Linked DNA regions of Mus musculus. The protein of the gene in region 1 interacts with the protein of each later gene in a biochemical or structural test. Links are inferred from orthologs where the notes say so. Each region holds a gene or a part of one and is shown on either strand. Other genes may lie near its edges.

Region 1 (4,295 bases):
ATGACAGCAATGTGGCTTATGCCCTGGTTATATGCTAGGACTATCAGTTTCACAACGGTAGTAGCAGTAATCATTAGCCACTTCTTTTTTGACAAAATAACTTTGTCACCACCCGCATTATTTCTATATGTGATGACCTTTCCAGACATACATCCTGCGAGTAGTGTCAGTGGTCATCATATAAATATATGCTTTCTGACTGCAAAATACTATGTGTTTTTAAATTAGTAAACAGAGATGAGAAGATCAGTACTACGTTTAATCCACTTGAGATCCAGATTCATCAATAGAGAATCTATTGGAGACTCAACAGTTTTCACTGCAGCCTGAGGATATTGATTTTTTCGTGTTTTTGCTTTGTGTACAATTCTTCCTTGAATACGTGCTTTGTAAGCCCTTCCCACAACTACCCACGTGGAGAAGATAATTAGACTCTTCAATGGCCACATGAGAGGTAATTAGTCTATACAATGACATCACGCTTAAAACGCCATTTAGCCAAAGATAGCACCTGGTTATTTGGCTTCGGGCTTCTGACCAGGGAGTTTCTGTGGCCTGGAATGCTCTGACCTCATCTACTCCTCTGTCTTTTGCCTGACTCACTGCTGCTTGATGAAGGCTCAGCTAAGGCTCCATGATGGTTTCACTGGGACTCAGCTCTGCACTGGGGGACCTTTGAAAGCATCTTGTTTCTGCCCATCCAATAGCCTCATGCCACTATGCATTAAGTCTTCATGCTGGCATCTAACCCTCCAGCAGTCTTCCCCGAAGACACGGACCATTTGCTTGGAATCTGCAGTACCTCATGAAGTACCTGGAATTCTGGATATCCATAAGCATTAAGAATTATTACTAAATAAATAAATAAATCTTATTAAATAAACAAACAGCACTAGGGAAACAGCTACACAGATTTAACCAACAAATTTGACCCATAATGATAGTATTTTAAATAGAAAAATCATATCGTGGTGCTGTGGGCCTTTTTGTTTGTTTGTTTCTTTTTTTCTTTAACTGGAAATTTGACTTCACACACACACACAAAAAAAACATGAAAATTCTTCAGGTAAAATGTAATGTTAATTTAATATGTAAAATGAGAATGTTAAAATAAATATAGCTATAGCTATAGATCCCAATCACTTAGCTTACATTTCACCTTGAGTCCAAAGAGGGATTAACCTAAAGAGAAAGGTATTAGACAGATTGGATGCTTGATCATTCTGATAAATGAGTATAAGATTAAAGGAAAAAGAAATATTAAACTTTGAGAATTGTTCATGGTTCATCCCTAAGGATCCAGTAGTTTTTATTTGTGTCTTTTGCTCTGACTTTAAATATGTAACAATTTAATAGGTCTAGAGGGAAATAAGTGAGCCTGTCCAGCCTGTCCAACGTTGTTCAGGCATCAACGTTGCAGAAGTTTTTGATTGAGAAAGTATTTAACAAGCATCTGACTTTAGCTGGCTCCTTATGAGTGTTGCTATAGTCTCAAGAGCAGCGGTCTCCTATCAGGGAACTAGGAGGTATAGGTGTGTCTCTGGGCTCTGGTAACCACATAACTTCTGAAATGTGGAAGAAGCCATTTCAGAAGCAGGAAACCAACATTTTACAACATATGAATCAGCTGAAACAGGACTGAGCTGCAGCGAGCAAAGCACAGTACCTGCTCAGTGTTAGGGACATTGATTTCTCAGGAGTCATACTACCGAGGCACCGTGGCAAGAGGAAGCACATTTTTAATGGACACCCATAAAATTAGGAGATAAGACATTTCATTAACAGTTTTAAGTGAGCTAAGGAAAAGGTCCTTGAAGGCACATCTGTAATAAGCCAAGTGTGTAGTTAGGAATCATATGCTCTCACTTTTGCAATTTGATTCAATATTGTACAGCTTTATTTTTGTTTTGTTTTGCTTTCCTAGGAAATTTATCTCCTTATCTTATGCTACACCAAGACCGTCGCTAGGCAGAAGAGTTTCTGTAGGGCCCCTGCGGCATTCCGTGGGATGACTTCTCTGACCTCACCCTGGAAAAATCTGCTTTCCCCTTAGGTTTTCAAATGAGCACCAGAAAAGCCTGTCTATGACACAGAGATTATAGGGAGGGGAGGTGGCCACTCCCTGCTTAAATGAGACAAGTAATAAGCGGACCATCTTAAAGTGAGTAAACATAACATTGATTCAAAACGCTAATTAAAAAGGACCACTCGGAGCCTGGGATTCATTTGGTTTTATTAAAGAAAAATATTTTTAGCTGTGAAAGCCTTCCATTTTGGAACAGTTCTTGAGAGTTTTCCATTTGTGGTTTCTGTGGGACCCCCACTTGCCTTCCCACTCCAGCTCTGGACCCACACAAAACTCACAGCTCTTTGGAAAACTTTTCCAAAGAGGAGGAAAGAAAATCCTCACTCTTAGCTTGCCAGAGCACACTTTCTCTTTGCTCCTTTAGTAACTCATCAGCAGGACAGTAAACTTGCCAGACTTTCAGACATGCATTTCTTAGTTAAGAAAGGCAAAACTTTATGATTTTGTAACGTCTAAAAGATAAGCACACAGTCTAATTTTGCAGCAGGATTAGCTAAGACATGGTATTTGCAACAAACCGTAAATCCTGTAGTTGAATTCAGCAGTCAACAGCACTTCCTTAAGAAGCCCCAGGCAAACCAAGCAAGAAGTTCTTACCCGATTTTGTGGTTTCTCCAGCAAGCAGAACTCTGTAAAATGAAAGCTAAGCCTTACCTTTGTATTTGCTTGTCTTCCCGGGGACTGAAGAGAGACTCTGCTCAGATGGTTTCAGACTGGAAGTGGAGGGTTGGACTCCTGATTTTATAGGATATGAACTGAAGCCACACCTAGCAACCAGAAGTTAGTAACTGGCTGTCTTTTGTTTGAAGAACTGGCTCAGCCCTGGTCAAAACCAAGGAGAAACAAGTCTTGCAAAACTACTCCCGGAACCATCTCAGCCACAGAAAGAAACAGGAATCATGGATTTTCCCCCTGCTGTTCCTTCTGAGGTTTTATTCCTCACAGGAATGGTTCAGTGCAGTCGTGGTTCAGCTATGTTGCTCTCCCTGTCTTATCTTGGAGAACTTACTGGGACTCCTTTAAAATTAAACACATTGACCACAAAACTAAAAAAGAAGAAGAAGAAGAAGAAGAAGAAGAAGAAGAAGAAGGAGGAGGAGGAGGAGGAGGAGGAGGAGGAGGAGGAGGAGGAGGAGGAGGAGGAGGAGAAGAAGAAGAAGAAGAAGAAGAAGAAGAAGAAGAAGAAGAAGAAGAAGAAGAAGAAGAAGAAGAAGAAGACGAAGAAGAAGAAGAAGAAGAAGAAGAAGAGGAAAAGGGAAGGAAGGAGAGGGTTTGATTTCAGCCCTAGCACTTATTACTATGTGATTTGGAGGGCTTAATTTATTTCTCTGAATTTGTTACCATTTTTGTATGTTGAAGTTATATCACTAAGGCTCTACTTATGCTCAAGACATTGTAGACAATTGAAATAGAACTTATTTGGAGGTTTTTAAAAAATGATTCTCTAATGAGTGCTTTTCTTGTGATTCACCAGCAATGCTCTTGCCTTCCTATTAAGCCTTTGAAACTAGTATAACTAAGAAACAGGGAACTCGTGAGACTCTGAATTACCTCAGCATTTTCAATAATCGATGTTAAAGATGGAATTATAATGACATTTAATAAAAACACTAGTATTGAAGAAGAGCCTATTTTTTAAATTTTTGAATAGACTCAAACCACATGAACAGAGTAGAAACAGAGCCCTGCTGTTATAGAAGAGTTGAGCAATGAGCAAAGACACGGAACTGTGAACTGTAAGGATTAATGGATTAGCAACTACCACAACAGGTGTCATAGGAAAAGGCCCATGGGATGTAAAGAAGGGAGGATTTTCCGGGAACCTCAATGTGATTCATTCTTTATAAAATCTACAAAAAAAAAAAAGAAAGAAAGAAACAAAGGAAGAAGGAAAGAAAGAAAGAGAGAGAGAGAGAGAGAGAGAGGAGAGAGAGGGAGGGAGGGAGGAAGGAAGGAAGGAAAGAAGATAGTATCTGCTGTTTCCTCTGAACTTTGCACACTAAGATTATGCTTGCATTGTACTTTTAAAAAATTATTTATTGTTTTAATTTACATGCATTGGTGTTTTGTCTATATGCACGTCTGTATGAGGGTGTCAGCTCCACTGGAAATGGAATTACAGACAGTTGTGGGCTGCCAGGTGGGTGCTGAGAATCGAAGCTGAGTCCATCTGGAAAAGCAACCAGTGCTCTTACCTGCTGAGCCTCTT
Region 2 (4,603 bases), on another chromosome or scaffold:
TTTTATTGTGTGTTTTGTTCTAAAGTAAGCAGTTAATCAATCAAAATTGCACATTGGGAAAATGTGTTTTTATTGATTAAATATGTTTTTATTGGAGGGCAAGGGCCCAGTTGCAAAATCAATGGAAAAAGGGAGTGGGGATGTAAACTCTATCAGTGCAGGTGTGGAAGAAGGACAGGTGGGTCCAAGCACACAGTAAGCTGAAATTCCAAGGGCCATGATTTTAGAAAATCGTGTAAGAAAGTAATTTTTTTAAAAACATGGTGCTAATGTTTTCAAATAAGGAAAATGGGAAAATGGTCACATCATCGGCAGAAATGGAAAGAGGGTGGATCTAATTATTTTTTGAATTATTGTTGGAAACACAAGAGTGTTTGTTTTGGTTTGGATTCTAATTTTCTTATGAGACAAAATCCTACTCTGTAACCCAAGCCGTTCTGGAATTCACTAGGTAGGCCACAGGCTGGCCTTGAACTTGCAGTAGTCTTCCCTCTTCAGCCTTGCACATGCTGAGATTATAGGCAAGGGCCACCATGTCTGACTTCAAGGGTTCCTAAACAAGAGACAGGAACTGTGACTGGTGAAATTGGGGGAGCAGAAACCAGGAAGCATTCACACAATGCCCTATTCACATCTACTCTGCAAGTTGTTCTTTTTTTTGGGGCGGGGGGTGTCTCCTTAAGGGCATCACTCTATGTGATAGACATTCTACGTGCCTTTACTAAGTGGTGAAGGCAGCATGGCTTGTTTATAGATGGGAAAATGGAAGCTCAGAGGGGCCAGTACTTGCCAAAAGTGCTGCAGTGATGTTGTGGACCAAGGATTAGAAGCTGGAAGTTTGTCATACAATTCCCAACTTTATTGAAACACAGACAGGAAAATGCCGCACTTGCACAGGGAGATGTTTAGCTGCAAGAGTTTTCTTAACTGTCATTTTAAAACTTGAAAGCAGGGTGAAAATTATCTCTAGACAATAATCACCAATATTCTGTTGGCAATAATCACTGCCCTTAGGTAGGCCAGATGGTGCACACCTATAATCCAGCACTTGGGATGCGGGGGTAGGAGGGTCCTAAGTTTGAGGCTAGCCTGTGCTACATAGAGAATCAAAGTCAGCTTTAGCTACTCAGGAATACCACGTGTCAGAAAAATTTAAAAAATCACAACTGTTTATTAAATTTCTTCAGTGTAGCAGGACAGCCCCAGCTCCTAGGGACCTACTTGATGAGCACGACTCACATTCTTTCTGCTTATCTGACCTGAACTGCAAATGGACACGTGCATAGAAAAAGAGCTAGGGGCATGACTTCCCCTAAAGCCAAAAATCTTTGAGATTCCAGGGAGAGAGGAACAGAGACCTGTTGAGTCACAGGGACTACAACCAGTGAGCTGAGTCTAGAGCACCGACATGGGGACAGGCCGAGGCCTGCGGAGGGGCGGGGGCCGGGGCGGGCACAGCCTGAGTCAGGCTGAGGGGCGGGACCCGGACCCCGACCGCCACTCCTGTCCCAGCCACCGTCAGCCACAGTCGCAGCCGGACCTCGCTCCTCAACTTGGTAAGCATAAGTTTTTGAACTTTTTAGATTTTTTTCTTTTTAATGAAAACAACAAAGAGCTACGCATGCTCTTGGCTGGGTGTATCTTGGACTAACGTGTGGACGTGGCAGAAAATGGATCGGGAAGATGAAACTGTGGGAGGCAATTAGAGAAGAGTGGAGGGCACGAGGAAGCCCTAAAATTACACCCTAATAACAGCCTGTGGGGAGAAACGGCGGTCTTTTGTTCTCCCGGGCAAAATAAGTTCTAGGCTGGGTGCGGCTGCCTAACTGGCCTGAGCCCGGGCTGGGTGCGGCCGCTAGACTCCCTGGGGCCGTGAGCCCCTGAACCCAACCAGTGGCGGCCGCCAGAGAGCTGCAGACTCAGTGAGAACTTGGGGCAGCGTCGCTAGGCGTTCATGAAGACTAGAAAGAAAGCGGTTCAGAACGTAGCCTTCCTGAATTCTGGGGGACTCAGCTGCGGGGAAACCGCAGGCAAACAGCCAAGACATACAGATGAGAAACCGGAGCCTGTTGCAGCCATTGGAACCACAGACAGGAATGTGGGAGGAGGCCAGTCCCTCCCAGCTCGCTCTTTTCCTCTCCCCCTTACTCCACTCCCAGCCATCTTTTTAGCCACTCCCTACATCACCTGCCTGTCTCCTACCTGCTACTTCAGTTCCCCTCGTTTCTTTAAAAAATGTTTCCAGTAATTCACATCCCCTCCAAAATCTACCCCTTCCTTTGACTCTTCAAAGAGGATCAGCAAATGTTGGAGAGAGGCCCAAGTGCGTTTTTGCCCTAGTCCCAAACTAATTATAGATTTTTATGTTTTTAAATGGTTGGAAGACATTCAAAAGGAAAAGAATCCCTTGTAATGCATGAGAATGGCATGAAAATCAAATGTATAGAGTTTACAGGCACCGCCACACCCTTTTGCTTTATGTATCCTCACCCTTGCTGCCTGACTATGGCAAGAGTGATAAGATCTTATGGAGCATAAAGAGCTAAAAAATATCCACAGCTGTCCCTTTATTGCAAATAACAGCAACAGAAAGCTTGCGGACCCCTGCTTTGGTGTGTCAGTCTTTCATCACTTCCTACTTATTGTTTCCTTCTTCCCCTTTTCATCACACAGGGTACCTAGGGCCCAGCACCAACAGGTTATGAGGTGAAAGGAGATAGATGAGACCCTGAACACTTGAAGGAAGAGCTTTGGTGCTGGTTGAGAAAGAGATAGTTGGTGTGGTTCCCTCTTTTTCACATATTTCTGTCAAGGGGAAGCTTCCCTGGAACGTTGGGTGTTTAGGTTGCGTTTTAAAAGGATCTCACTGCGTCCTTTCACAGTGGGGTTTTCCTTGCTGTCACTGTTCCCATCATGCAAAAGGGCGATGGTGTGGGCCGTGCCCTCTCTTTCAGCCGCTGCTCCACATGGGCAAAACCTTCCCATCTGAGCCCTCTGTTCTAAGGGAAAGAAGAAAGGAGCATCTATAGGCCTGGAACCTCCTCCCCAGTCTAGCGAGTCCTCCGTGCCAACTCTCCTGCTATCATGTGACACACTAATAAGGCAGCTAGATTTTAGTTCTGATAGGAAGAGCATGTTGTGTAAACACTTGTTTCTAGGCTGTGGTGTTTGGTGTTTCCCCCCCCCCCCCCCCCTAACTTACCAATAGTTTTCTCTCCTTCAGACTCTTTAGAAAGAACTTATCTCCAGAAGAAGGTTCAGGTACTCTGGGCATTCCTAGGTGCAGTGAGCCACAGCAGTGCAATTTTGATAATAAGCTGCTTAAGATAGGTGTTAGGAACGGGGCATGGTGGCGCACGCCTTTAATCCCAGCACTCAGGAGGCAGAGGCAGGCGGATTTCTGAGTTCGAGGCCAGCCTGGTCTACAGAGTGAGTTCCAGGACAGCCAGGGCTACACAGAGAAACCCTGTCTCGAAAAACAAAAACAAAAACAAAAACAAAAACAAAAAAAAAAAAAAAAGAAAGAAAGAAAGAAAGAAAAAGAAAGATAGGTGTTAGGAAGAGAGGCTGCGGGGCTGCCAGCTTTTGTCATCTTTAGCATGTGCTGTTGCACAGCCTGAAAGCTTCCAACTTTCGTATCCAGAAAGTCCGTCTTAGAGAGCAGTCAAAAACTAAATACTAAATTACATACATACATACATACAAATCATAGTTAACATCAAGCGAGAAAGTGTCAGGGTGTGGTTGACAGGGTCTAGGAAACCCTGCAGTTGCGCTGCTACCCACTAGGGGGAGCACAACGGATCAATTCTGGATTCTGGGAACAGATCTCAACCAGGATGACTCAACTCAGTAGAATTTCCTTTAGGAATTCTGCTGTGGGAAAAGCAGAGTCCGGCACAGAACTTGAATGATGCTCTTCCTGGTGCAACCACAGCTTTGGTTTAACTCTGTGTTAAGACATTCCAGCCACCATTCCTTTGGAAATGAGTGGCGTTTGGATGAAACAAAGGCAGAACTCTGTAGAAAGGAACCTTGTAGCCGAGAGCCTAGGGGTGACGCTACCCTGATAGTTGCCCTCTCATGCCTTAGTTCTGCACAAGTAAAATTAGTGACGTCTAGCTTTCTGCTTTACACACACACAATAAATCTATAGTTTCACTAGGTAGCCCAGGTTAACCCAAACTCTTGATCCTCCAAGGGTATATGCACCCCCACACCTTGCTGAATATACTTTCGAACGTCTAAAATGTCCTCTCTCCTCCCCCCCCCCCCCCCAGTGCACGATTACAGATGTGCTGTTCATTTTCTTCAGAGAAATTCATGAGAATTACTTTAGGGCATCTCATTCAATCACAGTAGCCTCTTGTGGAATAGGTCACTCACTGTAATCTCCCTCCAAAGTTCAGAACATGTGTGTGCAGATTCCTATAGTCATATGAACAGATTATTCATATGTTTTCTCACACTGTCTAAGAATATCAGAAAAGTTCTCCCTTGTCTGAGTCATCTAGTGTTTCTAAGCACTCGGAGTTCTGTGTGGAATACCTTACTGCATGCACTGGAGCTATCAAAAGGAAGCTCACAAAATATCACTTGCTGT

Evidence for each region.
Region 2: the proteins of Anxa1 (region 1) and S100a11 form a complex in vitro, tested with the Homo sapiens proteins (2 studies listed by BioGRID). The link is inferred for Mus musculus from reciprocal best matches to the Homo sapiens genes ANXA1 and S100A11.

What each region holds. Positions count from the first base shown.
Region 1 is NC_000085.6:20,387,872-20,392,166, forward strand, and holds the start of Anxa1 (annexin A1), read right to left. Parts: upstream 2,801-4,295; 5' UTR 2,741-2,800; intron 1-2,740. UniProt on the Homo sapiens protein: Plays important roles in the innate immune response as effector of glucocorticoid-mediated responses and regulator of the inflammatory process. Has anti-inflammatory activity.
Region 2 is NC_000069.6:93,518,998-93,523,600, forward strand, and holds the start of S100a11 (protein S100-A11), read left to right. Parts: upstream 1-1,498; 5' UTR 1,499-1,556; intron 1,557-4,603. UniProt on the Homo sapiens protein: Facilitates the differentiation and the cornification of keratinocytes.